Linked DNA regions of Drosophila melanogaster. The protein of the gene in region 3 interacts with the protein of the main gene of each other region in a biochemical or structural test. Each region holds a gene or a part of one and is shown on either strand. Other genes may lie near its edges. The genes, in order: Sh, aPKC and dlg1.

What was found.
Region 1: the proteins of dlg1 (region 3) and Sh form a complex in vitro, tested with the Drosophila melanogaster proteins (one study listed by BioGRID).
Region 2: of the proteins of dlg1 (region 3) and aPKC, one has a biochemical effect on the other in vitro, tested with the Drosophila melanogaster proteins (one study listed by BioGRID).

The regions. Positions count from the first base shown.
Region 1 is NC_004354.4:17,985,301-17,995,998, forward strand, and holds the start of Sh (shaker), read right to left. Parts: upstream 5,380-10,698; 5' UTR 5,034-5,379; intron 1-5,033.
Region 2 is NT_033778.4:14,952,206-14,962,903, forward strand, and holds the start of aPKC (atypical protein kinase C), read right to left. Parts: upstream 6,252-10,698; 5' UTR 6,039-6,251; intron 1,451-6,038; 5' UTR 1,311-1,450; coding exon 882-1,310; intron 385-881; coding exon 1-384. UniProt on the Drosophila melanogaster protein: Serine/threonine protein kinase which is required for apico-basal cell polarity in the germ line as well as in epithelial and neural precursor cells, for epithelial planar cell polarity and for cell proliferation.
Region 3 is NC_004354.4:11,369,684-11,380,381, reverse strand, and holds the start of dlg1 (discs large 1), read right to left. Parts: upstream 4,620-10,698; 5' UTR 4,574-4,619; coding exon 3,664-4,573; intron 3,541-3,663; coding exon 3,409-3,540; intron 1-3,408. UniProt on the Drosophila melanogaster protein: During embryonic development, some isoforms are essential for proper neuronal differentiation and organization. Required for cell polarity; maintenance of apicobasal polarity.

The DNA.
Region 1 (10,698 bases), 6.6 Mb from region 3:
CTAATCGATTTCGAAATGCGATTCGAAATTCTATTTAAGCATTAATGAAATTTTTTTGCACCCAGCCAGCAGCAACAAAAGCGAAAAAGCAACGAGGAAAACGAGCAAAATGTGCGTGCTTTCCACCGTCTTCAGTTAGCTTCAGTTGCTTGTTGGGTTTTAGCGATTTTCTGCATGATTTCGCAAAGAATTTTCACGAGGGCTGGGGCTTGGAAAGGGGCGGTGGGGTTGGGCGTGGCCTGCTGGCTGGAAGGGGGGGGGTGGGTTGGCAAGAAAAGCCTTTTGGCTTGATGGGAATACCCTGCAAGTAGGGGATAATCCCAGTGTTAGCTCCACCTCTGTGGAAGCTAACGATAAACTTCAGAGTGCAGTCAATAGGAAATTCTATTCAATCGTTGGTTATGAGTTTGTAGGTATATCAATTTTTTCGCAGTTTGAAGCGAGGAAACGAAACGAAACGTGGAATTTAAAAGGCAGCTGAGCTGATTTTATCAAAATAATTACACCTTTGAAATGAGATTATTTTGAAGTTTTTATCGACTTAGATGGGACATCTAACAAGGGTCAATTAATCTCTTGCCTTAGATTGAATCAATGAACTAATGACGTATTATTAAGAACCCATTTGCATAGCTGGTTGGACAAGGATTTTGTAAAGGAAAAGTGAACTACTTGAATTTTAATAGCTTCAATCGCATAGCATGGCATGCAAAGTGTATATAGCTCTCGCATTATCAGGCCCATTTTCCTGCCTGTTTATTGCCATTTTATTCTTTTCATTTTTCTCTCGCCCGTTTGGCTCGCACGGATTTGGCTTTCAGCCCCCGTAACCATCATGCGCCACGGCAATTGTAACAATTTTTGCCACTGGTTGTGCTGCTGCTGCTACTGCTGCTGGCGGCATCTTTTGATGCCCTCGCCCGCTGTGCGCTGTCTGGCAGGATAATGCGAACAAGTGGATGAAAATGTTTGACACGGAACAACAAGCGGAGCAGCGGGAGCCAAACTGCAGTCGTCGCTGCTTTACAGGCTCCAAGCCTGGGAGCCTTCAGTCCTCCAATCCGCACATCCTTACTTCGTACAGCCTTACGGCCTTTCACCCACAGAGCCCTGAAAAGTATGCTATGTTTGCCGTGCTGTGGCCTCCTGTCGCCTTGCTGCTACTTCCGTTTCCGCTTTGTGCAGCACAGCTGCTTCTTGTTTGGCCTTTGGGCGCAAATTTGAAAATAATTTACCATGACGTCACGAGCGGGGTGGCGAATGGGGTGGGGTGTAGGGAAATTGGTTGCCGCTTGCATATTTTTATGTAACACTGCAAAACTCGTTCACTGCGAAGATGGCCCCATCTCGGAGGTACCACGGTGCGTATGCTTGACCTTCAAATTGGCTTCAAGCGGCCGCAGATCAATAAATGTTCTCTCTGTGCCACCCGCCCTATTTGTTTTCTCTTTATTTATTTTTTTTTTTTTTTGGTTTGTATTCTTCCTTTTTGGTTTGTTATACTTCTGCTGCTTGTTGAGTCGTAAAAAGAATTACCAAAAAAAAAAAAAAACAAATAAAACGGCAAAAAAAAACATAGGAATGAGAACCGAGCGAAAACGGAAAACCCAAATAAAACTGTGAAAAGCCGGGGCCACAAAAAAAATGAACAAAATTAAATATAAAAAAAGAGTAGAGAAGAAACTAAAACCTTAAAAAAAAGGAACGCAAAATTGGTGTGTGTTTGGGTGCTCTGGCTATGTTTGTTTCAAATTAAAATCACGCAGCGCACGTGCAATCTACACGCACACACAGCCGTGTATCCATACATACACACACATATTTCCACCTCTCGACAGCATATTAAAAGCCCAAAAACCATCGCCGCAGTGCGTAACTTTCTCCGTTCTCTGTGCTCCTTTCTCCTTTCTCCGTTCTCCGTTCTACTTCCTACATTCCCCATTTGCCATTTGCCATTCGAAATTCACATTTCACATTTCTCGGAGCCGAGCTGCACAGCCTCTGGCCGGAGTACCAAAATCCACTGGCAAGAGATTCCGGATCCAGGCGAATAATTTACAATATCCATAGATAGATGGCACACTGAGAACTAATTCAGGTTAACACAAATCACCCAAAGCCCTGGCAATTTTAAGTTCGGGATTGCCAAAGGTCAACTATCTAAAGGCTCATTTAATTGGAACATTTCGTTACATTTTAGTAAAATAAAATCAACGTGCATACTAAAGCAAGTATTTGCCATTTTTTTTTCTATAAGCCCCTAAAGTAGTTTTAAAAACTTTGTAAAGGAAATCAGAAAGTCTCACTGCAACATTAAATGTTTTATAGTTGCGGAAGACATATACTACATACATATATATATATATATGAGGCATAAAGTCACCAAGTATATAGCATATATAAAATACGACTCTGTGCATATTTTTGGTGGCCAAATTTTCTTGTAGTGTGTGTGTTCATGCCCGACCGCAAACATATGCGCATAAATATATACATATGTAAGTTAGCAATTGGGCCAAAACTAAATGGCCAAGCGTGGCAGGAAAGACAAAATGGAGCAAAACAGTTGGCAGATATATCGAGTTGTGGCAAGAATAAAAATTCGCCACCATTCAATCAGGGAAGCTGCTGATGTTTTTGCGAAGACAGACGACCACTTTAAAGGCACTCGATATATGCGCCATATACTGGGCAAATTCAACTCGAAAGACAAAGCCGAGTTGCCTCAGTGGCATTAGGAGAGCTTAGCGAGCACCAGAGGCGTGTGCAGAGGGGATTTATTAGCGCTGTTGTTGCCATAACCACTTAGCCTGCACACACACACGCACACAGACACACTGGCACACTGGCGAGCAGCTTTGGCACAAAGGGGTTAAGAGTGCGGAGAAGAACGAACCACACTCGACGCATTTACGATTGAGCTGGAGCTAAGCCTAAGCCTTGCCGCCTAAAAACCAGGCAATGTGCGTGCGAATGGCCTCCGATCCCCTCAATCTAGTAGTAACCCCCCCATAAAACCAGACCCCCCCCCCCAACCCATCAACAAGACCAAGCCTGCGGCTGTGCTCGTATTCGTATTCAACCACAAACTGGCTTTGTTTTATGATGTTTCACTTGCCAGTTGTTGCTCGAAAGCTCAGGAGTTCTTCCTGTTGCCTCAGCTGCTTGCATGCAAAGTTCAATCAAAATAAATCAGTTGCCTAGAACATTACAAAGGGGTTTCCCACCCATTCTCCTTCCCCTTGCCACTTTCCACTGAGTGGATAAGGGTTAACAGAAGGCTGAGCTGTCGAGCCGTCACGGCACATCTAGCCCCTGCAACCATTCGCCCCCCTTTCGATCGACTTGTTCAACTTTTCAAGTGCCCAATTAATTTTGGCGTGTGCGAGTCAAACTTGAATTTAATCGCAAATACAATGAGAACATGAGGCGTAAAAAAAGCGGGGAACATAGAGAGGAAAACAATAGGAGGAGCGAAAACAAAAGAAGCTTAAACAAAAATACAAAGACGAGGCTGAATAATAACCTCACATGCCCAAGTGCTCAAGTTGTAATACGGGGAAAAACCTCAGCTGCTCTTAGACAAATTAATGAACAGAGCGAGAATCCAAATCCAAACTAATTTGTATGGGAAAACTGGGTGGTTGGTGGAAAGCGAAGGGCGGAAGGCCCAAAGTTTTCCTAGATATCCAAGTGACTTGCCAAACAATACGGATGGCAAAGTTATGGTAAACCTCTCATCTCTGCTGAAAGATGAAACCACAAAATGAATGCATTTCAAAATCCCCAACATAATTACTCCAATGTTTGCGTTCATCTGTTTAGTTTTCACTGCATACTGAGGTGCTCGAATTGCTGGAAAAGCCTGCTTTCACCCACAATTGTGTTGCAAGCCCGTGTATTTATTATTTATATATGCTCTCTATGACAATGGAAAGAAAACGGTCGAAGCAACGAAACATAAGCCATTAATCCAATCAATGCAGTTCCTGTTTCTGGGTTTTTGTTTTTGACATACAAAATTTATACGTTGCCTTCATTTGTGGTCAAATATTAAGGCCACTGCCCAGTTTAATTTCGAGGCATTCAATTGATCTCTGAATTCGATCCTTGAGGCTGTCTTATTGTAAATTAAACATGCCTGCCCTTCTTGCTACTGACCACCATTCTATTTTTGTTTAACTTTGGCTGTGATTTTAAGTTTGATTTACAATTGTAAATTGGGTCAACTTGTTTTTCTTTCAGCTTCGGCTGCTCATTCCACTCCTCATTCCGCTTTTGTGGCTCGTTCAGTTTTTGACGGCGCCAATGCGTCGTATGAGCAATTTGCCAGTTTCTCTTTAGGCTACTGCTACAGCTTTTGCTCCTTCTGGCTCTTTTGGGCCACTCGAATTGCACTGAAATGGAAATGGCAATGGGAGTGGGAATGGGAATGGGAATGGAAATGGCACAAGGCAATAGGAATTGAAGTTGCTTATATAAGCAAAACTTCACTGGTGCCTCTTACCCCTACTTCAACCTACTTCACCCGACCAATCCCTACCATTTTCCACTTTCTCCCCCTTAACTAGAGTGAAATATTAATTAACTCGACCTGCAGTGGGCTAAGTTGGCGTGGACAATCCCCTACCACCACCACTACCATCAGAATCATCATTCCACCGGAGGCTGCAGCAGTGTAGATTCGAGTGGCGCCCCCTAGGCAAATTATGTTGGCAGTGTCCAGGTCCATTTGCCGCTTGCCAGTGCATTAATTAAGGTAAACAAACACAGAAACAGTCGGAGATAGGGCGATACAGTTGGAGGGACTCCAGGATTCCCCTGGAGCCTCTGATCATGTCCTGGTGTATTTTTCTCTTCTCATCCCTTTTCTGTGGCGCGTGGAAGGGTGCTTAAATGGCTTCTTAAGCTGTTTTAAACGCCTTTTTTAAATGGAGTTTCTCCTTGTGTTTCGAATTTTGCGGCACGCACCAAGCTCGGAATAACAATAACAACAAGAGTTACCATTTAAAAAAAGAGAACCATACACTCACATTCACCGAAAAAAAAAAAACAACAACAAGAATCACGCGCGGCTACGCGGCACGCACCACCTGCTTTTTTTTATTATTTAAAGTGCGAGTGGGGGGTTTTGAGCGAGGTAAAAAAATATTGAAGTCTGGATAGAAACTCCAATTGTCAGATTGACACACTGACTGATTGACTGACTGAATGAATGACTAGCTAACTGACTAGCTGGCTGACTAACTGACTGACCGACTGACTGACGGACTGACTGACTGACTGACTGATTGATTGACTGACTGACGACAGTCGCCGCCAAGCGCGGAACGCGTTGCACGATTACGTTGTGACGACGTGACTGCGACTGCGACGACTGAACCGAACTGAGGCGCTGCAAAAGTGTCCGGCGATAGAAGAACCGCCGAACTACGAGCCGAGCCAAATGCGGTGGCACGAACGCCCCACGTTGGGCGCCACGAACTCGCCACGAACATTTTGGGCCGAGGCGAGCACGTGCGATTTGCTTTGCTGCATTGGCTCCGGCTTTGTCAGCGGACTGGATCGTATAGCTATATATCTAAAGCTATACGGAGTTTTCCACTGCTGCACTCCGACTCCGATGGCGCCTCTTGCGTGTTGCGTGCTGTGTTCTGTGTGTGCCGAGTGTGTGCTATGTGTGATGTGCGATGTTCTGTACTGTGCTGTGTGGCAGGTACCGCTCCTGTTCCCGCTGGCCAAAGGCATACGAAAACTGGGCAAAAGGCAAATAGTTTTAGTGCCACTTGGCACGAACACGGCGACCAGAGGAGGCCCAAAAAACACAAAACCAAAAAAAAAAAAAGAAACGAAATGAATAAAATGAAAACCAACAACAAAGCAGAGCCGCAACAACAAAGCCAAAGAGTAGCCTGGGTGAACATGGCTGAGCAAGAAGAGCGGGAACCATGGGCACAGGGACATTGGCGACACTGGCGACTCTGGCGACACTCGGGCACCGTCCGCTGGAGATGGAGCTCTAGCTCCTGGCTGGACTGGAAATGGGGGCCCGTCGGCGGGGATGAGTGGCGGTGTCAAACAAAGCAAATGCCGCTAGGGGCCGCTGAGGCGGCGGCCGAAGGCAAAACAACCGAAACACGAAAACTAGGTGAAAACTGTAAATGAACCAAACACAAACATACACTAACACTCACATGCACACGGGAGCAAGAGAAAATCGAATCGAAGGAGAAACGACAAAAGCCACAACCCCATGCCCTCCAACTCGCCACCGCATCACCACCACCCTTTGGTGGCAAAGGTGTGCTCCTCTATTATTAATGTGTGCTTTAAAACGCCGCCGGGCTCGTTATGCTCCCCCCTTCCGAAGCCTATTCCTTCGCTTCCCTTTTGTTGGCTCCACTTGATTATAATAATGCGAATAACTGCACACTCACACACATACGGACGCACACACATGGCCATGTAAAGGCTCCCAAGTAATACACAGACACACGCATATAAGTGTCACGTGTGCACTTGAACGCCATGCTTCCAGCGAGGGACGGCGTGGCGTATGAGTAATGCAATTATTAATAAATAAACACATGGCACATTCACGCACACAAACGCGCGCCCAAACAAAGCATGGGAAAGTTCGGAAAGGAAAACATAAGGGAAAGCGAGAGAAAAGGGCCACGGAAAGCTGGATAAAGCGCAGCTTAAAGCTCTGGCTTCTGCTTCAACAAAGTTGACGTAGCTATTTGTTTTCCCAGCTTAAAAGCTATCAGAAAGTTTTCTTCAAATCAGAAATTGTGTTTTAGTCAAGCTTTTAAGCTCTTCAATTTTCAAAAAATCAGAAAAGCTTTAAGCTTTGGTGTCCTTGCTAATGCAGGTTTTGCGTTGAAAAATTATTGGACGAAAATTTATCGGAACGCAAACCTTTTATAGCCACACAAAAGCATTTGGAGAATAAGTTGGTTAGGTTGTAAAATACAACCGTTTGTGAAATTTTAACTATAATTTAATAGTTTTTACCAAATAGCATTTTACAATTTATTGAAGGGAGAAAAGCTAATATTATTGAAATATTTTTTTTTAATGAGACGAAGTTATCCAGAAAATGTTATAATCTTTCTAATAAACTAAAATAAGAACGTCTTTTGGGTTTAAAAATAAAAGCTCATTTAGTTCTAACAGTTGCACTTACTAGTTTCTTAAACTCTATAGGTTTTGAATGATTGGGATTTATTGTCAACATTTTGGATACTTTAGCCTCTTTGAGCAATCTTCTAAGAGTCGCTGCAGTACTTATAATTCTTCAGTTCAGAAAATTAGATTTTTAATGTTAAATGACATTTCACCTCATGTTTTCATTTGCTATTTAATGACTTAATGCTTGCAGAGAAATATATACACTTGTTTTAATGTTTTACCAATAATAGTTTAAGATTTTAGATTATCTTCCATAAAATCCTTATAGAATTAAGCCCACACAATCTTCCAATTTAGATAATTGTATTTTGTGACTTACCTGGAAGTTGATGGTATTAGTTCATATCGAGTTCGGTCATCGTGGGTATCGTGGAGTATTGCAAATAGGAAACAAAGAAAAACAGCGATTAGACAGATTGTTAAATGTATATGTATCAGCATATGATCACAATACACAGTACAAGTTACGAGTTATCATTATCTATAGATTCTAGATACATGTGCCAAGCAAAGGCATTTGGCGGCAACGAGTGCGAATGGCAAATAAGGCGAAACAATAAGCATTTAGAGTACTATTAATGCATGATTATACAGAATGATTTGGCATATAGAACTGACCGATCAAGTCAAGGCTTACGGCTAAAGATAGATACAAAGAATATGATTTTGGCAACTTTTATTCCGGCTAGGTAAACACATGGGTTACATACACAATTCAGATTTTGCAGTTAAGTTAGTACGAGTAGTTCCGAGTAGTACACACACACAGAGGCACATATATCACATCGAGGGTTGCGTATTCTGGATTGGCTTTGGATTTGGATTTGGATTTGAATTTGCATTTGGATTTGGATAGGATAGTCGGAAGGTGGTGGTGGGGGGTGGATTGTGGGCTGTTGGGACTTGTCTTTTCACTTACCCGCCAGCAACAAGTATCATCTGCATGGTCTCAGTTTCAGTTTCTGTAACAGTTTCGGTTTGGCTTTCTGTTTCGGTTTTCTAGTTCTGGTCTGCTTCGTTGAGCTCACTGAATCCTTGCCAATTAATTGGATCTGTATGTGTTCGTGTGTGTGCGTGTACGTGCGTGTGTGCGTGTCTAGTATGTGACTGTATGTGTTCTATGTGTTTGCTAGGTGCTCAATGGGTGAGCTAAATGCAGCTGCTGGTTAATTGGGCCCCGGCCGCCTGCAGCTGCATGACGGCCACCGAGTGGGCCGCTCCTGGCCTCTCGGGCGCCGATAATCCCGCGTTGCGTATCGCGCGTCGCTGTTAGCTTTGCCTCACTGTACTCGCTGCTGCTGCTGCACGAACGTAAGGTGGCACACGACCTGGAAGCGTTGTCTGTGGCTCGTCTGCTCGTTTGTTTGCCATTTGCAGATCATTTGCATTTGGTGTTAACTTATTTAATCACTTTTTAATTATTTTGGTTTGCCATTCTATTTGATCGGTTTTTGGGGGCCTCGTCGATGATCTGGGCACATCGCAGATCTGACTATGCACAAACAATTATAGAAAATGTATACTTCGAAAAGCAGCTACAAAAATCACGAATGTTTAATATCATTCTATTCTGATCGGAAATTTAGATCAATTATTTCTTTTAACGAAAAATAACTCTATGCATTAATTTACATGTATTAAAGGATTTTATTTGGAATTTGTTTCATTTCATTGCTGATTATAAATTCATTATAATTCCATTAATACAAACAAACTAAAACTTGAAATGAACTGGCTAAGAAATTGAATGCGGTATATTTAAATTAAGCAAGTGCAATTGCCCAGATGATCCACAGCTAGGCGACCCTTTAATTAAACTAAAATTTCATTTCACTTTGAATTGTTGTTATTTGTCGATTTTATTGTCGTCGATGATTGCGGTTGATTTGCTGTGGGTTTTGTCGTTTTTATTGCCGGTTTGGTTTTTTCAGTTGTTACAATTACATTTTAGTGGCATTGGCATTGCGGTTTTGGCCACATGTTGCTGCCAATTGCCGCTGTTTGTTTATTTATTTATTTGTTAAGTGAATGCACTTTGGGGCAAACGTATAGCCTACTTATGGGGGCACTACAAAAAGAAAACTGTAATTGATACATTTATTTGAGATTCTTGCATCCCATTTATCACTTGCCGCCGCTGCGTGTTTCATTCCGTTTTGTTTTTCTGGCGGCAAGGTCGTTTTGTTGTTTGGCGGAAAGAATTCTATTTATATATGCCCATCTCGCTTCCACAAACACACACACGCACCCTCACACACTCAGCTGTGGCAAGCAGCTGTTTTTGGGACTGAGCACCATAGAAAAAAAAAAACAAACGCATATACATTAGGTGTATATGTAGACTATTAAAAAAAAAAAATAACCATTCCTGCGGGGCAGCTGCCGTTGAGTTGCGCTCAAGTTGGCGCCACGCGGTCAACTAAAAACGCTTTCTCCGCTGTTGCTACTGCTGCTGCTGTTGCTGCTGTTGCTGCTGCGCTTCAATTAATTAATTAAACACAAATTTTCGTTTGCCCGCCGCGCATATAATTACAAAACAAAATATTACGCATACGCCATGGTGACGCCACAATTCCCAAGAGCAAAGCCACACACATCCAACCACACACACACACACACACACACACACACACACAGTGACACAGTCGCAGAGTGATAAAAGTGAGTGAAAAAAGACGAAAATATTAATAAATGTAAATAAAACGAGAACTTCGCACAGCTGCTTTAATCGCTCTCCTTCTTCTGCTGCAGACATGCGCCTGACCCCCACACACACACTTAAACACACTCACACACACACACACTGCCACACATACAGTTTTCCTTGCTCGCATTTTTTCCATTATTGAAATTTGTTTACATTTGGCCGGAGACAGGGAAAATAAAGGAAACACCGGGCCATCGATGGCAGTTAACTAGGGGGCACATGAACACACATACACATAGCACAAAATTATTACCTTTCTGTTCTAAATAATCCCACATACACACACAATCTTCCATATATCTGTTCGAAAAATCCTACTATATTTTTCTCTTTAATTTTTTTCGCTTTAATTTAACAATTTTTCCCCATCACCTTTCCGGCTCACATTGCGTATACGTAACGAAAATGCCGCGAAATGAGCGCGGTCCAAAATGTGAATGTGCTGCCGTGTTCCAATTGCCAAATCGTTTCTACCCAGCAGCAGAAAGAGATGGCACCAAAGGCCAAACAGAGGGATAGATAGAAAGAGTGAGAAAGAGAGAGAGAGAGGGGAGGGGGAGAAAGGCTTCGTGGAATGTCGGCATCTTACGGACACAGACAGCAGCACAAAAACACGGACATGGACCCGGCTTTGGCACTGTAACACTGACACACTGACATCGGGAAAACGTGTAAAATGGTTAGGCGGCGTCGCGGGGAAGGGGAGGTGGGTGGAAAATGGCCAGTGGGTTGGGCGGGCCATGTGGGCGATGTTTGGACGCAACGTAGCGTAGTGAAAGAAGGACTATGGAAAGCTT
Region 2 (10,698 bases), on a different chromosome or scaffold from region 3:
CGATCCCGGTCGACTGAGTGACGTGTGTGGCGGTGTCACCGATGCCGTCGTCTGCATATAATGATGCGTATACGGGTGCGGATGCGGCACATCGTAGTCACCAGTGTCGATATGTCCGGCCGACATCATGCCAATGCTGCCCGTACTTCCTGTGCCCACGCCCACTCCCACGCCGCCCTGCAAACAGCCCAGCGATCCGTGGGCACTGCCATGATGACTGTGACTGTGGTGGCTGCCATGGTGACTCCCGTGGGCACTGCCACTCCTACTGTGCATCGATACGCCACGGGTCAGCGTGTTGTTCGCCGACTGAATGGAACTGACCACCGCTCCGCGGCACATGATGTCCGACAGCTGGTTGGCCTGAATGTCAAAGTACTTGGACTGGATTATGTTCGAAATCGGAATGGGATGAGAACAGAATGGATTACCAGGTCAGTGATAGGGGTTTAAGCCAGAATTTTGGTTCGAACTCAGCTTGAAGTTGTTTTATAGATCAGTTATGAAAAAGTGCTATATCCAAGCCATGACAGTTGTTTGTATTTTACGATAAGAATAAATCTAAAAATGCTTTAATTTCCAATGCTAATCAGTAGAGAAAGTAAATTACTATCTGCTCATTATTACGTCATTAGTTTATAAATATTACAGTTCTATAAAAAGAAAAACTGAGTAATCTATGGGCGTGTACATTTTCTATAGATGCAAAAACCTAATTTGTACAAATAAGCAATCTATATTTAATTGATGGGATACACTTATAAAAATGACTAAGTCATCGGAATATTATAGTATAGTTAGTTGGACTTGGATAGACAACTCAATTTCTTTTCTTCAAGCTGAGTTCTGGATGAAGATGTAAGCCCCAATGATCCAAATACCTGTGGACTATCCAGCTGGTCGAGCGATTGTCTCCGAGCGGCGTAATCCAAGTGGGTCATCAGTTGCTGCGCCGCTGGGCAATTCTTATTGGAATGCAGGTGCTGCTGCGAGGACGTGAGCATCGGCGGAGGTGGCGGCGTAATGGAGCCGCACGGAGATCCCGGACAAGGACTCGAGCAGCGCGATCGACAGGTGGGGCTGTAGCACAAGTTGCCACTGCCCTGCTGATTGGCCGACGGTGTGCTGGGGCAGGTCTGCGATTGCTGTTGCTGCTGCGTTTGCTGATGCTGCTGCTGTTGCGGCAGGCAGGGCTGCTCCTCCTCCTCCTCCTGCTGCACGATGTTGACCGGAAGTGGTGCACATTGCGTCAGGCGGCGCGGCGATCGTCCACGATCCACAGTCGTGGCGGACCAATAGCCCCAGGCCATTTTGGTTTACTTGAACAAATTTTTCACTTCGCGTCGCGTTTATTGCGTTTAAGTTCACTAAGCTCTCGCTTCGTTTCGTTTTGATTTTGCTCGAATTTGATTTTGCTTATTTTGTAAGTTCGTTTGCGTTGGACTTGATTCTGCGATTAATTAGCACAAGATTAACGTGGGGGAACTAGTAAGACACAATTGAAAGTTGTACTCTAAATCGAGTTTCGTATGTCCATTGCTTTTCAGCTTGTTTTGTTATCAAGGTCATTACAAGATTAAGTAGCATTGAATGTTTGATTTGTAATATTTAAGAATTGTTTGTTTTTCGCAAAGAAATCGTTATAACTCAATCTTTCTATCACTTCAACTTGATTTACTCCGTTGCCAGCGTTGCTTGACTAAGTGCCACCAATATTTCTACTTAGCATAAACCCCCCTCTTAAGTGGAGCGTATATAAAATTGGATTCAGTGGGGACTGAGTCGCGGGGAGAGCGGGTGGTCGGAGAAAGTAAATCGCGAAGGAAAGCGGAACAAGGTCCCAGTTGCAATTACAGTTACATGGCGCACCAAACTATGCAATGCAAAGTTTCAAAGCCAAACGACAGGCGGCGTATCCCCCACTCCGCCCACTTTGCTGATCTCGCAGTTCGTAATGATTGATTAAAAGAAAAACTCAGACACACACAAGGATATGGCCGTGAGAAGGGCGTTGGGCGATGGAAGAGGGGTTATGGGGATAGGGAAGGTGGGCGTTTGGCTATGGGCGTGGCCGGTTGCAGACGCCGCAGAAACCACACCTAAAAAAAATATATAAATTGTGTAATAATGGGAAAGACAAGAGAGAAACGAGCGGGGAAACCGAGAGAAATGCAGGCCGAACAGCTGACAACTCTGTCAGGACACCCACACACACACACAGACACACACAAGAAACAGTTGCTTGGAGAAATTGGTAACACACACAGAGACACACGGCTGCGACAATCACAAACAATTTAACCCAAGTCAAACGAGCGCACAAGTTGCTGCAAATTGACAAAGGCGTGAAAGGCAGCCAAGAGCGAGCGAAAATTATTGAGAAGGTGGGAGAGAAAGCGCCAGAGAAGGTAAGGAAAATCCAGAGAGAGAGAGAAAATCGGTCGACGCGCGCAGGGAAATTTGCTCGCAATCGCCCTTTTAAGTATGCAATCTTCTGTTGCCATTCCTACATTTCAGCCATGTACAGTGAAGACTCTGTGCAGTAAACTCGAAGGTTTTTATTCAAAAGATGAGATGGGTAATTATAGAAACATAAAAATATATATTTTATGTTATGAAAAGTAATGCTAATAGAAGTTAGTATCCCAAACTATTATAATGTGATTAAACACTTTCTTTCTCTTGAGCGTACACTGTATTCCAGTGAAAGGCGAACCCAGGGCAAAAGCCCACCCATCGATGCAGTCAAGTGTAAACAGAAAATTTTCTTCAAGTGTATTGGTAGGTCACATCGCAATCGCTTGTTGTTTAGACAATTGAAATTAAGCACTCCACTTTCATGCATAATTCGCATGATTAACGAGGGTCGAAGTGGGTCGAAAAAGGGGGTGGCGAGGTCCTTAGGTGGACAGCATCCACTTGACACAAGAGCCTTGTCGTGACAAGGCAAGCAGATCCCTTTGTTTGGCACTCATTTTCTCGGCATTTTCTTTGTTTTCCACGCTATCTGCTGATGATGCAGTCTCTGGTGACTGAATGGTGTGCACAAAAAGAGGATCTGATGCATTTTCGAATTAAATTTAGCCAGTCCCCTTCAACTCATCCCGTTTTCCCTAGCCCCATTCCCCTCTTTTGCACTGGCACTATGCTTCAGCGTTTGCTAAATATAAACACTCCGCCGGCATTGTTTTCTCTGCAATTGGAGCATGAATATTGGTTGCCTGCTTGTTTGTCCAGGATGGGAACAGAGCATCCCAAACAACCCAACAGTCCAGCCACCTACACTAAAGCCTTCCTGGCTCCATCCATAGAAACCTCTTTTGTTGGACTAACCAAAGTCCTAAAATCCCACAGCTCTAAGCTAGATTAAAGCTGATTTACAAACAAGAAAATTATTTAACAAGCTTAAAGTACACGCTTTGTTTTAAAGTTTTTAAGCCGATTAGTTAATTACTGCATAGGGAAAGTGCCCACAATAGATGTCTTTAAATCCTATTCTATTTATACTTCTTGATTTCAATTTGTTACATGATTAAGTTAAGTTTTCTGTTTTTTGTTTTCGGTAATTTAATATATTTTCACTGCATTGCATGGCCTAATAAAAATGCTGCCATAAATGTTTAATATCAATAAAGCTGCGTTTTTAAAGCAAAAAGCTATTGATTAGATATTCCCAATAGCTATTGTTTATTATTTACGGCCTCATTCAAGAATTTCAATGGCCTAAATAAGCACACGACTGCTTACATCAGAAACCCATCAAATTTGGATATTTAGCCCGCCACGCCCACGAATTATTGACCATTCCAGCGCCTCAATCATCCGCCCACTCTTGAACTTTGGCAAAGAAGCGTTTGGGGAGATGGGTTTCCTGTGAAACCATAACGATAAACCTGAGCAGGCGATGTTCGCCAAAAGGACTGCGGCACCATCTTTGGGCCAACAGATACCAGATACTCCGGACCAGAGGCATCAATAGTTAAACATCAATTTGGCTTTTCCGAGTGACGTCAAGCGGGGCGAGTTGCCACCTGCCGCCCACCTCGACCTCCAGTGGATATAAAATTTCACACAGCTTAAAAAAGAGAAAAGCGGCAAAATGGAAATGCCATAAAGTTCCCACTTACAGAAAGAATGCCCATCTGCGAAATGTACCTTAAAACGTGAATAAAGACGCTAGTTTATTCTATAAATATTAACAACTTCATGGATGGATACAAATTATATTAAAACAGAGCTAAACAGATAGTAATCGAGCTTCAGGGATCTAGAAAAATTTGACACTGTTGTGTATGTGCAACTTAAACAAATTTAAATAAAATGTAAGTATTGAGACTCGTAAAGCTTAAAGTTTAAGCATAAGGTCCTCAAAGTTGTACATTTTACTGTATGATTAATAATATAATATAATTATAGCTTTTTCTCTCTGCATCAACGATATGATATAGGCATCCGTAATGAGGCATATACATATGACCAGCAACCAATTCCGCCCACATCCGTACATTTGCACTGATCCCCTAACAATACCGAAATGGGCTTTCTTGTTTGCTGAACTAACAATAATTTCATTAAGCCCAATGGCATCATTAAAATTTGCCCAACAATCATAATGGGGCCAGCTAGCAAGCGAACTGGGTACCGAATCTGCCAGAGGCTGCATAGGCAAACCTAAAATAAAAGAAAAGGAACACAGACCAAAAACAGAACCCCAGGGTACCCAAAAAAGCAGTGGAAATTTGCTGATTTAACTTTGGCAAAAGGAGACGCACACACACCTGGTTCGAGTGAAAGCCTTCGGGCCAAAAAGAAACGAACAAGTTTAAATGGCAGGGCGACAGCTTGGCCAGCAAAACGCTTTCCGCAAAGAATGAATAAAAAGAAATTGTTTCGCCCTGCAGCTTCTTACTAGCCCACTGACTCATATTATATACATATGTATATGTACATAAATATATATAGTATATGTGCATATATGCCTTACATATATGTATGTATGCATACGAAATGGATCCATCTCGTCTATATAGTATAGTCGGTTTGGGCCAAGTTTGGGCAACCAGACGGTCGCCGAGGTGCAAGAAGCGCTTGATGAAGTGCAAATGCCTGAGGTCAAGTTTAGGGTGGGGATTCTCGCACACCATCACACACTCGCACACACACACACACACTGCCTCATTTTGCGTCATATGTGTTTGCAAGTGTGTGTGAGTGTGCGAGTGTGTGTGGTTTTGTTTGCCAGTGTCTGGCGCACAGCAGCCAAAAAATTTGGGAAAAAAGTGAACAGCGTGATGCAGAAAAAGTGTAAGGGAACCCACAAAAATGGAAATCAATTCTTTGATTTTTTTATCGTGGTTGCTCCCCTTTGTCTAAGTGCAAAATGATAGAGGCATAGGAAATGGTATGTTTTTAAAGCGTTCTAGAACTTTAATTGTATTGCACTGAGGTATTTAAAATATAAAAGAAAAATGCTTAGTGTGTGGGATTTCACCTGCGTTTTTGTCTGCGTTTTGTTTTTTACGTTTTTATACTTTAAGAAAGTGAATAAAAGCAAGGATTTTATTAATAGAAACTAAAAAACCATATTTATATTCAATTTTTTTTTTAACAAGAATGAATTATTATTATTAATACTTTATAAAGGGGTAAATTATAATCTTTCAAAATATATTGATTTTGCGAGATACGGTCATAAATTCCATCACATCTCTGGGGTAACTCTTTCATAAAGTTTTTACTTCATTAGCAGCACTAAAAAACGTTCATTAAAGAAACATTCACAAAATTATGTTAATCATTCCACGTCCATTGCCTTTCCACCTCCCCATTTTCCGACCCCTTCTCTCAGCGGAAAATTGTATGGCAACTAATCAGAAATGTACGACAACTTCGGCAGAACAGTCAAAAAATATTGCACAGGGCCAATTGATTTTTTCCGCAAGATTTTCGTGACTTGCCGAAGAGCGAGTGGAAATGTTTAAGAAAATAATTATATGGAATTATGTTATTCACTGATTTGTACTCCTTTTCCGACATACAACTTCGATTTTTCCGCTTTCTTTTGTTAATTCACAGCGCAGAAACTCGATTTGCCGTTTAGCTGTGCAAAATCTTGTATATTTGTATACATATATATGTATATGTATATATATATCTATAATTATGTATTTGTTTGTAAGGCCCGGGGAGTTATATCTTCGAATCGAAATCCGCACGGCACTTCCACACAGGCGAGCGGCCAACGCGCGAGTGAAATGCCGATGCAGAGAAGTATGCTAGGGAAATTTTTCGGGGAGAATGTAGCGGAAAGCCATGGAGAAAGCTATTGAGAGCGAGTCTCGGCGAATGGAAAAAGTAAAGAGCAAGAGCGAAAAAAGAAACTAGATAATTTGAGAAAAAATGTTTTGTTCTTTTAGTAGTTTCTTAGTAGACGTTTTTAATGAATGACTATAAAAAAATTATTATTAAAAAAAATATTTTATAACAATTCATTTTAGGTAAGCTATTTTGCTATGACTGTCTCGAAAATGAAGAAATGAAAAATATAATTTTTAAAAACATTTTTTATTCCAACACGTAAACAGAGTAAGAGTAAAGTAAGAATTCTATAATCTGAAATTACAATTCCGGATCCGTTTCGATGGATGAAGGTGATCCAAATGATCCGGAACTGAGTGGGGCAGATGTTACTAAAATTCAGTCCTCGTCCAAGGATTGGAAAAAGAAAATTTCCCTTCCCCGCTCTTTCTAGCTCCAAACAGCCTGTCGTGGCCTTGTGAATATACTTCACTTTTGGAGAGAGAGCGAAAATAAAAGCCGCAGACCGGCGCTTTAGCATTGCCATCTTAGATTCAATGGATGGCAATACCTTTCTCTTTGGCTCAGCTGTTTTTTGTGGCATCTGGGGAAATGCTCTCTCGCTCTCTCTCTCTCTCTGTCCTTCCATCTATTCTCTGTTGGCCATCGCTGTCTCGCTCTTGGGTAATGGCATCTTGTGTATCGACCTTATGAGCTGCAAAAAAAGTTCTTCGGACCTGGACAAAAGTTTTTCATGTACATATGCGTATGTGTGTGAGTGTGTGCCGGACAGCGTTGCCATATTGCAGGCGCATAAATTATACCGTTAGCTTACAGATTCTAACTTTTTGTATTGCTTTGTTTTTGGGAGAGCTGCAGAGGTTTTTGCTGGGCGGAGATGAAGCCGGAAGGTGAAGCGAAGTTCTACGGAAACACACTTTCCAACATAAGAAAAAATTAAAAAAAAAAAACGAAACCAAAAAACAAGAGAAGCAACAACAGAGAAGTCAAAACACGGGCTTGTATAAATGCAAAACACACTCACCAACAGCCATTTACTAATCAACACAACAACAATAAGCACACAAACAGAAAACATGTGCGGCATACAAACACACAGACAGGACATCCTAACATATGCAGGAGTGCGTGTAACGGTAACGTAATACCTTGACAATGTCCCTCTCCCGTACGCACACACACACAGTCGCAGGAAAACAGACGCACACAGAATACTTTTAATACATTTTAAGCCGCATTTTTTCACACGTGGCCACATAACACAAGAATAAAAACAAGAAAGAATGAGACTGTCAAGTGTTGCGACAGAAAAGCTACCCACTACCAGGCAATTGAATATTTAAGTAGCATAATTTTTGGGATATGTCCTGAAAAATAGATGAATAAAGAACTTGGAGTACGCTTGTTTTTAACGAATACAGCATACCCCTTGAAAAGTACCGGGTATGCAACAACAACAACCAACATGTTGTCCTTACACACTGTTCTTTTTTGTCATTCGGAGATATGTATGTACATATGTGAAGATGTGGACTGGCCACAAAATATCAGGAAGCCTGCTCCCCAGAACAAAAACAAAGCCGCATAAAAAGGGTAGCGGAAACTGTAACACCCTCTCCATCAAAACCCCACACCAGCCACGAACTTTGTTTAGTGCGACTGGCAGTTATCATATCTGCTGGGCCGTTAGTTGGCTTTTTTCTTGTTTTACATATCGGTGTTCGGAAAAACAGAATGACCACAGGTATGAAATGGTTAAGGATATATGGATAACTCGGAAAAATTTGAATAAGAACTACACTTTGCAAGGGATATTAATACTCAATAAAATTAAATGGTAAAAACAATTTTGGGTACTAAGTATCAGTTTAAGTATCTTACCCAATAAAACTAAAATGTCCTACATTCGTAGCCAAGAAGAGTGTATTCCTTGTTTATTATGCTTTAACCTCAGGCCCTCGTTTTTTTAGTAATTTACTGTATAAAAGGGTTTTGTGTTTGTCATTCGCCAAACGAGTGTGGTAAGTGAAACCTTTTTGTTGTTGCGGCAGGCATAATTAAGCACAAAACTCGCATCAGAGTGTGCATGAGTGAGATCGCCGAAAACCGCACAACAGGAAAATTAAAATTCCAAAAAAAGCTGGCGAAAACTTAAACCCACACGAAGCAAACAATTTAATTATAATGAATTATAAATGATGCCGTCGAGCCAAGATCCAAGCAGAATTTATATGCAAATAAGTCGGAGGTAGGCAAGAGTGAACAAACGTAGAAGAACGCTGACTGCCTAAGGCAATTGCCACAAGACTCAAGCTTTTCGAGCATGCGAGTGTTCGTACGGGTTAATTAATATTTTATGTTATTAACTCGAGTGGATGACGCTGCCTTTTGGCAGCCTGCGAAGGCAGAAAGGCAACCGGAAAACTCGCGGGGAAAACTCAAGTTTATTGAGCCAACAAGACGAGCTCACATTGTTTAATCAGGCTTAAATGTGCCTGCTTAAGTTATGGAAGCGAAGACGAAATGTGTGGCCGATTGGTTAATTAATTACTTGCTGCCTACCTTGCGGCGGCAGCAGTAAATCATTTAAAAACTTGGAGAATTGAAAATAAAAAGAAGAGTAATTCTGTGAATGCAGATACTGTATCTTTTGCTAGATAACCAGTAGGCTTACTTTGGTTTAATAGTGCTTTCCGCTCACATTAGTTTACTGACCTTATTAGATAAGTTTATCGTTTTCAGTTTTAGAAGCGAACTTAAATTACAATCGAAATTCCTTAACCAATAATAACCAATAACTCGACTTTCTTTTATTTATTACTCTAACGTATCTTTGCAATTTTAAATTTTGAGCAGACTTACCATGAATGACTAACTGGGAATCGAAGTTCATTTCGTAAAGTCGTATGGCCTCGTCCAATTCCATTTTCGTTGATATGGTGCAGGGATCGTTTTCCTCATCTACCCATTTGATGGTAAATGGCTAAACAAAACGCTCAATGAATTACACTTCTGTAACGTGCAGTACTTTATATATATTTTACCTGATCCAGAGGAAATCGACAAATGTTGCGAATCTCGTAGCACAGCTCCTCGTATGAGATATTCTTGTTGATGGTGGTAATGATAATCTGGCCATTGTAGGCGGTCTTTACCGTTATACTATTGGGCGTATTGGCCATGTTCATACTGGCGCTATTCAAGCTGACGCTGCTGCCGTCGTTCAGAATTTGCGAGGGCATTTTCTGCATTTGCTAGCTGGGTAAAATATTTTGATATCACGTAACACACAGAGACAAACAGATTGATAACAGAAAACTGCAAAAATAAGAGTAAATAGATACGAGTTAAAAACGAAGCGGTTTACAGTAAAATAAATTAAAAAGACATTTTACAATTACAAATTAAGCTAAAAGTAAGTTTTATTTTCTAGTTTAAATAAAAAAATATATTTTAATAAACTATTAGTGGCGAAATATATTTATATTTATACATTGACTGAACTTTTTTAAGGATTTGTTATTTTGTAGAAGCTTAACTGTAAAGTGTCGTAGCATTATCTTCAGAATCTGATAGATAAACGAACTTATGAATTTCTATTGCTCTCTCTGTTATCGTTTTCTCTTTGCCCACGAATTTGAAATCCCGCCCAAAACCAAATGTCAACTTTGACATTTGAGGCACACACACACATACGCAGACGCCAAACGAACTGCATGCCACAGGTAGTTGTTGTTGCTTGCGCTGCACCAAATGCGTAGACGTTGATAAAACGAATAAGACAAAACAAACGCGAGTGAATCATGCAAAACGCCCACAAAACAATAAAAGAAGAAAAGTAAGTGGAATTAGCACGCCAAAGCGAGTGTGCAAATTAGTTTATTTTTACTCCTCGCCTCTCCTTCTTTCACCGCTTACTTGGCATCTCAGTACTTAAGTATTTGAGCGTAATTAATGCCGTACATTGACCAAGGTAACTGTTAAAAGTACCCAGTTGGCCGCAACAACAATAGTGCAACAAATGAGCGAGAAAGAGAGAGAGTGGAGGCAGGGCATCGAGAGCGAGCAGGAGAGTCGCCAACCTGTTTTAACTCATTAGCATTTTTCAATTAAGACGCCGCTTTTTTAACATTAACACTTTTAATAAGCTTAAGCTTAGTAATCGACTCACACTGGTTCCTTTAGTTTATTTAACCACAAAAAGTATGCACAAAACGCCGCACAAATATAACACAGGGGACAAATCAAACAGCACGAAACATTTAAATTAAAGCCAATCAGTGCGCCACATACATTTTAATTAAGACACTGGCACTCGCACTCGTTTAATTAATTGTTATGGCTAAAACGAATTAAAACTAACATTGCTATTTCTCCGTT
Region 3 (10,698 bases):
ATATGCTGCTGCCAATATGTTTCGCTTCAACAGCAGTCAAGTGGCCCAAATGGGGGAAACTAAAATCCGACTTTTCAGGGAGAAAAAAAAAGAAGCAAAATTGAAACGAAATCCATGGCGCCCATTTAATTTCCTGCGCCCCAAAACAGGGCAGCCCCAAAAAGAGCAAGCGAGACAGCTGGTCGGATAGAACGAGAGAGAGAGAGAGAGAGAGCACGTAATTCCATGGGGCATTGCTGGGCCACCAATATATTGCATGGAAAAGTACGCGCAGTCATTGAAATGTGTGTACATAAAGTACAGCTCACTGGGAAACTAAAGGTTTCCCGGGGGAACTGTGCAAGGCAATTTGAAACTAAATATTTCAAATTTGCAAAGCTGAAAAGAAACACCCTACTAATATTAATCAAGCAGACGAAACTTTCGAAAACGTTTTCGAACATTATTACAAGCTTCAGATACCTAAAAAAATATATGTTGGCCCTACGATTAAACAAGCAGCTTAGCATATATACAAGAAGTTGCTTAAAATTTGTAAATCTTCAATGGAGAATTGCCTGTATTTTATCGAGAGACCACTGTACCACGTTATGCAATGGATTCGGCCACTTGAACTCAAAATGAGTTATCGAATGCTTTAGAATGCTTTCCCGAAAATGCCCTTTTAAGCATTGTTATTTTTTTCATTCCTCCATTATTTGTGTGCCTTCAATTTGTGTTCTGCATGTTTTTCATCGGTATTTGTGTTTGTTTTATTTTTTATTGCGGCCACATTTTTTAGCTGGCCTCAGCTGAATGCCAATGCCGTTGAAAAAGAGATGCTAAACTTCAGGTTACACCATCTCTCTCTATCTTCATCTCGCTGTGGGGAATTCCAGGAAATCGATAAGACCCCTCAAAAGTATCCACAATATATTTGCATACATATGTATGTATCATTTACAATAGCAGGGGATAATAATAGCAGCGATTTCAATCACAATTTATGTAACTTAAAGTAGCAAATAACTTATTGACTTATAGTAAGCTGCGTATAGATTTAAAAATTAATATCTTATGCTTGTTACAGTTTATCTCACGTATAGTGGTTTTATTCGCTTGACCGCAATCGTATCTCACTCGTAAACATATACACTAGTGTATGTATGTAAATGTAAGTGTGCTGCAGATGATTCCAATTCTAGGCCAATTAAATTGGGATTTCGCCCGCACATGGCTCTTCATGACCTTTTGCCCCCCCCCGTCCCGCACACAACCCCTGGCGCATCCTTATCTCTATCCTTCGCTTCAACTTGAGTGTCAATTGTGGTGCCTGTGCAACACTGAGAACCAAGCCAAAAACTATGGCAAAAAAAAATCAAACTCTGATGCCCAAACATAGTTTTTCCAACGATATTACTCATACGCAGTGTTATTCGGTTGCACAGTAGTAGTGCTTTCAAACGCAGTTGAAATGTTTTCAGTGTTATTACAGCATAACAGATTCAATGCAAATATGTTCAACAAAAGCGGGAAAGAGACGGAAAGAGACTGGAATCTAACCTCAAGTTTGATACTATACCCAAAACACACACACACACACATACGTTTCGGGTGTTTGGGATGCGGCTAATACCTTGTTAATTATTTCACACGCACACACATGCATACACCACCTCAAATTCCCTTGGGTGGACCTTAACTGTGGGTTGATTTCAAGGCTGTGAACTCTTTTTATCGTAATACATGTGACCCATATCTATCATAAGAAAAATCAAGTACTGGCATCGTGTTTAAAAACTCTCTTCTTCAATTTAGTTTAGCTTTCCTTCTAAACTAGCAGAGCGACGTGACTGATCATGTTCTGTCGAAGTGCGACCCTGCGAGTTTTTAAGTTAAGGTCCACCCTTGTGTTTGGCCATACAAAAGCTCCTGTTTTCTAACGTGTCACGTGTTTGGCTTGTTTGCATTTGAGTTTGTGTGTGCTTGTTAGCCGTTTAACATTTCTGACACGCCAAGCGCAGCCACTGAAACTGTAACGATAACGGGAGAAGAGGAAGCACCAGCGGGATACGCCGAACAAGAGGAATAGGGACAAGAAGAACCAAAACAATGGGAAGAATGGAAAGAGGTAGGGGGAGAGGACCCAAGCGAAACGAAACGAAAAGGATTATGCAACTGCCACTGACAGCGGGCAACACAATTTGCACCCAGGGGTCCAATAGAAAGGGACGGGGTCACAGAGCGAGACGCGGAGCGAGCGGGAGAGAGCCATAGGGGACTAGAATGAGATGGAGCACGGCGGTAGAGCAGAACTTTTGCAAATTATACAACAGGCAAGACCCACAAAACAGACAACTGCAAACCAACCGCCCGTCTCGAAATGGATGGACATATGGACAGAGAGAGATGAGAGGCGGATACGTTGCTGAAAAAAAGAAAAGATGGGCGAGCAAAAAAAAAAGTGTACTGCAAACAGTGCTGCCAAAAATCCAAAAGTAGCTAAGAGCTAATCCAGACAAAACTGTCAAATGAGAAAAACAAGCTGTCAAATCTTGGGCAAAAATGTCTCAATAAATGGGAACGGCTTAAAAAACTGCTTAAATATACAATGATAAGGCAACAATGGCAGGGAAATTAACTTTTCTTAATAGGAAAGTATTTAGTTATAGTGATAATTAGGTTCATCTTAAGCTTGAGACTATAGGTAATATGAGGGAAACCAACAAGTTGCTAGTGAAAATCAATGGCTCCTTCGCCATATGCCACCAAAATGCACTCCATGATGCAACTGGAGCACTAATCAGGCCGTCTATCGACCCTTTTGAGTAACCAGAGTCGGTAAAGAAAAAAAAAACAAGCTGAATTAGCCGCATTACTATGGGACGCTTGCTGTTTCCATTGCGCTGCGCTGCTTGGTCTATTTGACCCAAATCCTATGCAATATTATCGTTTTGCTGTCGCTGTTGCTGCAATTCCCTTTGTTGCTACTTTGTGCTCACTGCTTGCTTGTCAAGTGAAAATAATTTGCAACGCGAGGGGAGGGACAAGAAAATCGATAGGCGATAGGCAATGGACGATAGACAACTGCACAGATAAGAACTACTTTTCAAGGATCTTTCTTTCCGGCTCATCAACTACTTTCTAACAATCTTGGCACAAAGTTCGCAACTTTGTTTGCGTTTAAAGTTTCAGAATCAATAGACGATGATGATGAGCTTGGTTAAGGCTCTTGCTTATAACGAACTTGTGAAAAACTTATTTAGCACACTGACCTATATAATAAAGTATTTCACAAAAATGCACTTATCTAGCGGCAATTATTTAGATATTTTTAAAGGCAAAAACTTACGAGCGACGCGAATAGCGTCTAAGATATACATATAGGATATTTTCATCGATTTAATCGATACATTATCGATTACTCACCTAACAGCGCTTGAAACAAGCGAGATTTAAATATGCGTATAACGCGTTCGATTGCAATACGCAGCGCCCGATCCTGCGGCTCCGAAAGTCTCGCGTGGTAGTCCTCGAGCAGCTCGAGAGCCCGATGAGCTTCTGAAATATATAGAGAAAAGAATATGGTTAGTACAAATGATCTTCGATTGTTTTATTATGAAATCAACCCAAAAGACCAAGGGATTCTGCCTGCCCATTTTTCCCCACTGGATTAGTGCCTACTCTGTATGTCCGCAATGCGCTCCTCCTCATCCTGACTGATCGCCAGACCCGCCTGGCCGAAGATCGTTGACCAGAAGCCCCTCTCGGAACCCTGTTCCGAACCACTTTCCCCAGCCGCATCCTGTACGTGGGATCTCTGCTTGGGCTTTGGCTTCGCCTTGCTCTTGGCCTTCAACTGCAGCTCCGATTGCGATTTCTCGAGACTTTCCCGCTCGAGAGTCTCGATCATGGTGCGAAATCGGCTCAGTTCCATGCGCAAACCCTCGGCACTGTGGCGACTCGACGAAGAGACGGAGAGTCCGGAAATGCCGGAGAGAAGGCGACAACGGGCTGCGCCCGAGGATGACGACGACGGACCCTCCCACTCGTCGCGCGAAGCATCGCTCTCGGACTTCTCAAAGTAGCCAGACTCCACATCCGGTGTTCGGACCATCGAAGTGGAGGACAGCATGTGTCCGTACTCGAGAAGATCCTGGGCGGAATAGAAGCATTCAACGGACTCGCGGACACTATCGCGCAGGGATGTTGGACACTTCGGAGGCTCGGGATCCGGTTCGGTTACGGTCTCCATTTGGTGTTCCATCACCTCCAGTTGCGAATCCCCATCCATATCGCTAGCTTTGGCAGCTACTGCCACCGGATTGGTATCATCGATTTCTTGGCGCACTTCTATGGCTTCCGCCGACGGCTGTACCAAGACCACCAAAGGTGGCTGGTCTTGGTCGCAGCGAATCTGTGCCTTCTTCTGCGGCAGCAGGCACTCCTCCTCCTCGGGCTCCTCCTCATCGTCCGCCGGAGAGGAATCCTCCGCCGGTTCATCATCGTCGTGGAATGTCTTGTCATCGCTACTGAGCAGTCCCTCGTTGGGATCGCTGCTCTTCTCCCGCTCCGAGTCCGTATCCGAATCCATTACCAGGACCAGCCAAGAAGACACCTCTCTTCGCGCCCAAGTGCCGCACTCAACTGGCTAGACTTTTGAGCTCTATTATGGTTCTATAGTTTGGTGGCTGCTACCGCCGATAAATCAATAAAGATTGACGCTTTTTAAACATTTTTCACCGCTTGTCGGACGCCAGTTATTAACGCTTTTTTTTTTTTGTTTTTTTGTTTCCATGAAGGGTGTGTGCCTAAAATTCCCCATCCTAAATGCTTTAACTTGAAAATCTGAATAGCAACGAAGTTGTGTGTTGCTGCGCATAGTTTGATGTCCCCATGCGAAGAGGTCAGGGGTCAAGTGCCATACCGTCGCTGGCTTGTCATTCGTGCCGCGTTTGCCAAAAAATTAAACACATAATTTATTATTATAATCGAGTCGCATTATGGTCCCAAAACACACGCACACACACACACATACAGAGCACACAAACCAAACTATACATACTCGTATCTAAATGAACATTGTATCTGTGGCCGCAGTTTGATGTCCTCAGCACGCGTCAAACGCCGACGTTGACCTTCACTGACCATTTGCGAGGCTGCTGGCAGCGCTTTTCCCCGGTTTTCCCATTTTCCGTCTGCTGCGGCTCCTCTCTTTCCCCCTCCCCCTTCCCCCTTCCGCACCATTTCATTTCATCTCTTCTGTTGGCCATTTGAGTTGCCCAAATATGATTTGTATGTGACATAATCAAATAAAATTCTTTGTCTGCATTAATTTAGCTGGTTTTTTATGTATTTTTTTTTTTTTTTTTTGTTGCATAGCTTCCAATGCACAGTTGGATACATTGTTTGTTTGGCCAAAAGTGCCATCTCGTGTGTAATTGGAAGCAGCTTTGCTGGCTAACTTTGCGCAGCACGTAAAAGTTAAATGATCTACTAAAATTACAATTGAAAAACTAATGCCAACTTTCTATATACTATATGGTGCTTAAAACTTTCACCAGCAAATCAATGCAGTTTTGCATAGACATAGCTTTTTTAATAGGTTCTAACTTTATTTCACAATAGTTAAGGTTATTTTTCTAAATTTGTTATGCATAGAATTATGTAAAATGTGATCTTAAACCATTGTGTTAAGTTTTAAACTACTTTTTCAATTGCTGAAAACTGGCAAACAGTTTTCACTGTCCACCATTCATAAGGTCCATTCAATTGAATGGATTTCCACGTAATGCCAAAGACAGATATGTAGAACAGAAAATAAAAAAAGAAGAAGAAGGAGGGAAAGGTGGGAAAGGTGGGCAGTGAATAAAAGTGCAATTTTTCGCTTACCTTGCTTTTTCACTGGCATTCTGTGAGCGGTGTTTCTGCTACTATTTATGGTGGTGCTGGTGGAAATGGCAGCGGAAATGGCGGTGGTGCAGCAGCTTTGATTGTGGTTCAACGCCGCCGAACTGGGAAAAGCGTGGGTCGCAATTTTGAGAATTTACTGGAGTCGCTTTCGAGTGGAAATGTGCGGAAAAATCGCTTTGGCTTTTCCTTGAGTTCTCCTCCTTTTAGTTTCGCCAGCACATCTGTATATATATCTGATATATATGTATATATATATATATACTATTCGATGGTGTTTTATGTACAAATATTGTTTTGTTAGATACTTTGGCTTTCGAACAAAGTTCGAGATTTGTTGTTTTTTTTTTAATTTTGCGCTTTCAGTTTGCTAGTTTATTTTTTAATTTCTTTATATATTTTACTTTTCGTTTTCTTGGGGCAGCTTTGTGGTTACATTGACGTGTGCGTTTTCTCTCGATTTCTTTGCGATTTTCACATTTCACAGCTCAATGGCTCCTCACATTCACATTCGGTTCTATAGCATTTATGTTGCACTTTATATTGCAATGCGACTATCATCGAAATGTCGTACTTTCCTCGTCACAACACAACAACACCAACACAAAAAAAAACTCAGATCGTTTATTTGCTTACTTCGCGTTCACTTGATTTGATTCTATATTGCATTCACCATCTGAAAGTCGAAAGAAAAACAAGTGGAGAAGGTTTGAGGAACACGGCTCCTTTGGATTTTTTCTCAACGGCACCCATTTTGTTGTATAATCATAAAAACAAAAAAAAAAAAAACAAAAATTACGAAAATTGCAGACACACACGGGCGCAGTTGAATGCGCTTCCGATTGCAACAAAATGGGTACAGTGGTAACTCGCTGCGTGGTATTTCGTATCTAACTTCTATTGATCAAATATTAATAGCATATTCTTCAATATGCAAATATTTTTATGAGAATTTTAGCAGAATTGTAAAGTATATTCAATGTTTCAGCATCAGTTAAATATGATGCTACACTGAAAATATTCCTATAATATTATAAAACACCGTTGTCCATTATCGAGTGACCACTGTAGCTGACTCTTTTTTTCAGACACTCATATTTGGGAAATAAGAAAAATTGAATAGCGTCGCAGCGATGTCGAAATTCTCGTCTGCCCGCTTGTTTCGCGATCGCCATTGTCGAGCTGATTCCGATTTTATTCACATATTTTCGCCAGTCTGTGTGAGTTGGCTGCTTTTTGCTATTTCAGCTAAATGGTTTTTTATTTCTGCCATGCAGTTGATCTAGTTTCACTTGAAACAAAAAAAAAATGAACAAAAAAGAACTCATAAACAAGGCAAGAACCGAATACAGTGAATGCTGAGAGTTGAATTTCGCAGTGCCTTTGGCTTGATAACTTGTTACATTGGCCAGGTCGAAAGACCAAAATTCCGCACACCCGCACCGCACACAGACACACGTCCAACTGAGGCAATAACGGTGCTCTGCTTTTGGCCCTCAATCGCCAGCCTCTCGCCCCCTCTCCTCCTCTCACCCATCCTCTCAGCTGGCCGCCACCTCTCTCTCTCTCTCTCACTCTCTCTCTCTCTCTTCGACCGAGAATCCCGAGCGATTCTCGTCGAGCGCCGCTCGCCGGACCAACAATTAGTGCCTGCACATATACTCGTACACCGGATGCCATGCCAGATACCAGATGCTATATGGCTATATGGCCACGTATCTTTCTATCTGTCTACCTTTATACCATTCTATCTTTCTACCATTATATCTTTCTATCATTCAAACTATCTACATTTCTATCTTTATATCTTTCTATATTTCTATCTTTCTATCTATTTATCCTTATATATATTTATCGTTCTACCTTTCTATCTGTTTATCTTTCTACCATTCTAGCTTTCTAACTATCTATATTTCTAACTTTATATCTTTATATCTTTATATCTTTCCATCTTTCCATCTTTATATCTATCTATATATCTAGCCAATGGAATGGTATATGGTATATATTAGTACAAATTTATTATTTTGCCTTTGGTTTGCTATAAGGAGTATTGGCTTTTAGATAAAATGTTTATATTTCCATAATTTCCAAACAAACATGTGCAATACTTCGCTCTACTGCCCTACCAAGCGATATCAACAAACTCTCTGGCCAATTTGTTTATAGATCAAATAAATAAGCCAAACACACAATTCAGATTCGCTTAGGGTAGTCCCCCGACATTGGAAATTAACAAGAAACCAAATCATAATAAAGTTTATGTGAGCGATGAGCGATAAAATAAACATTTGAATGATCTGAAACCAGATCATTCACACGTCATAAAAAAAGAGGTAAATATTCAAAAAAAGGAAGATCTAAAAGTTCAAATCAGTTGAAATGTACGTAACTATGCAATTTCCTTCGACAACAAATGATTGACTGTTGAAAGTTATAAAATAAATTGCCATAAATATCGGGGAAATGTCCGAACCGACAATTCTAACTGCCGTGGAGTCCATTATTTTGACAGGCAAGTCGAGATCCTCGTGCATTTTGGTTCTCTACTAGAGGGAAAGCCATCGGGCAAAAGGCACTTTGATTAATGTGGTGGACGTCAGTGACGCGAATTACTTAAAAAACAATTGAACAACTAGACGGGTCAATACACAGCGAACCCGGAAGGCCAGACGAAGTTTGGGGCGCGGAAGGAAGTGACAGCGGGGGAGGCGGAAAAACTGAGCTAACGACTGGAAACTAGGAAACGCGCATCGGCAAAGACAGCAACAACAACGAGAATAATAATAATAATAATAATAACAGCAACAGCAGCAACAACCACGACGGCTGTGGGGTTCAATCACCTTTGGGAATTACGTACCGGTTATTATGGTTATTATTATTATTATCCTGCCCGCAGTTTGCCACAATCGTACTTTGGCCTACACACAAACACGAGAGTAGCGAAATGAAATGGATACTTCGAGTTGATAATCAAAAGGATATGTGCATATATTATATGAAACTGAATAATATAATACTACACTTTAGTTCTGCATCTATGGTTTTCGAATTCTTTCGTTAGATCCCATTTATTTTGCTACATCCTAAGCAGCCTAAAGTCAAGGTTATTTTTGAATTTTTGCCCTATTTTCTTGCGGTGTACCTACGCTCTGACTGATTTAGTGAGTGAGTTGGATTTCTATACGTTTAATTTATGTGCGTCATTTGTTTCCTATTTTTAATGTCTTTCGGCCGCTTGAAGTACTGTTTTTTTTTTTGTATTTTTTTTTCTTTTTAAGGCGCACACACGTCGTATAATTGATATGCATACTTTCTCACACACGCTCGTGTGTGTACGATTGTATTGCCTATTTTTATGGTCCACGAGTCCTATTCAGCGGGCATGTGTGCGTGGTACAGTGAACACTGACCAAGCGGAATTTATGGCACAAATATAGAACAAGAACATTATGTTAAATAATTGGGCAAAGTCGAAAAATGATCGAATTAAGATCAAAATATAATGTATATAATCATTAAAAATTTTATTCTTTATGCATGAAGGAGTTAGTGAGCGTTCACTGTAGCCCACATAAGCACTTCAACGGACTGACATACGCACACATGCTCACACACACGCATTCACCTGCTGCAGGCGCGAACCCAGAAAAGTATGCAGCAAAAAGGAGAGCATATGCAATAAACACTCAATTCCACACACACACACACACACACGCATTTGAGGCACACACTTGCAGCGAGATATTAACCGTTACGGATTGACGTTCGCCTGGCGGATTTTTGACCTTGACATGTCGCCCGTGGTTGTAATTGTAGTTGTTTTCGGTGGACCGGAGTGGCGAGCATGTCAAAAACTGGAGGAAAATCGGAGAAAATCGAACGGCGTGCTGGGTGCGGGGAGGCGGGTGGAAAACTGGGTCGCAGATAGAGGTGGCCATTAATTATTCAGTCACAGCATAATTATTCGACCGTTCTGGTGTGCGTGTTATTTATAGACTAGCCAAAACGAACAAATAAAAAAAAACAACGAAAAACTGAGATACTACAATAAAATAATACACACATAATGTATGCACAAAGGCGGAAGCGAGACAGAGCGACGGCGAGGGAGAGCAAAAGAGAGAGGACGAAAGAGCGAGAGAGCATTGTAAACTTATTAATACCAGTACCACACATCCGCAACAAAACTCCCCGTTATTGCAAATTAACCCCCCTCCTCTCAGCGAATGCATAAAAAAATGGATGCTGTGAATTATGTATGCTCCACACATACACACATACACACTTATTGCAACTGCAGTGTTTTCGCACGGAAAAAAAATCAGCTGGCTGCTGTACCGTTACGCACACACATACACACACGTGCCCTTTCGGCAATTATTTGACTTTTCCTGTACTTGCTTTATATCATCATCTGTATTTACAACAACATCCCTTTCACACATGCAAGTGCAAGCAGGAGGACAACCACCACACAGAGACACAAAAAAAAACTAAAAGGTGCACCGTTAAAAAAGTTTAATGTCCCTTTTTTAGTCCTGCAGGCAAATCAAGGTAACTTTTCATGCTTCTCTTCACTTGATCCTTTTTCACGCTTTTCGCTTCTCCTTCTGAACTTCTACACTTCACAGAAACCGACACCGACTGTATATTTTGCTATGTATATTATACACGGACACACACTCACTGGCAAAAAGGACATGCGTTTGGCACAGCCTTCGGGCATTTTATGTTTAATATAAATAAGTAGCGGCAGCACGTTGGAGAATATATATTACGGTTTTCTGCTCTGCTCACGGGAAC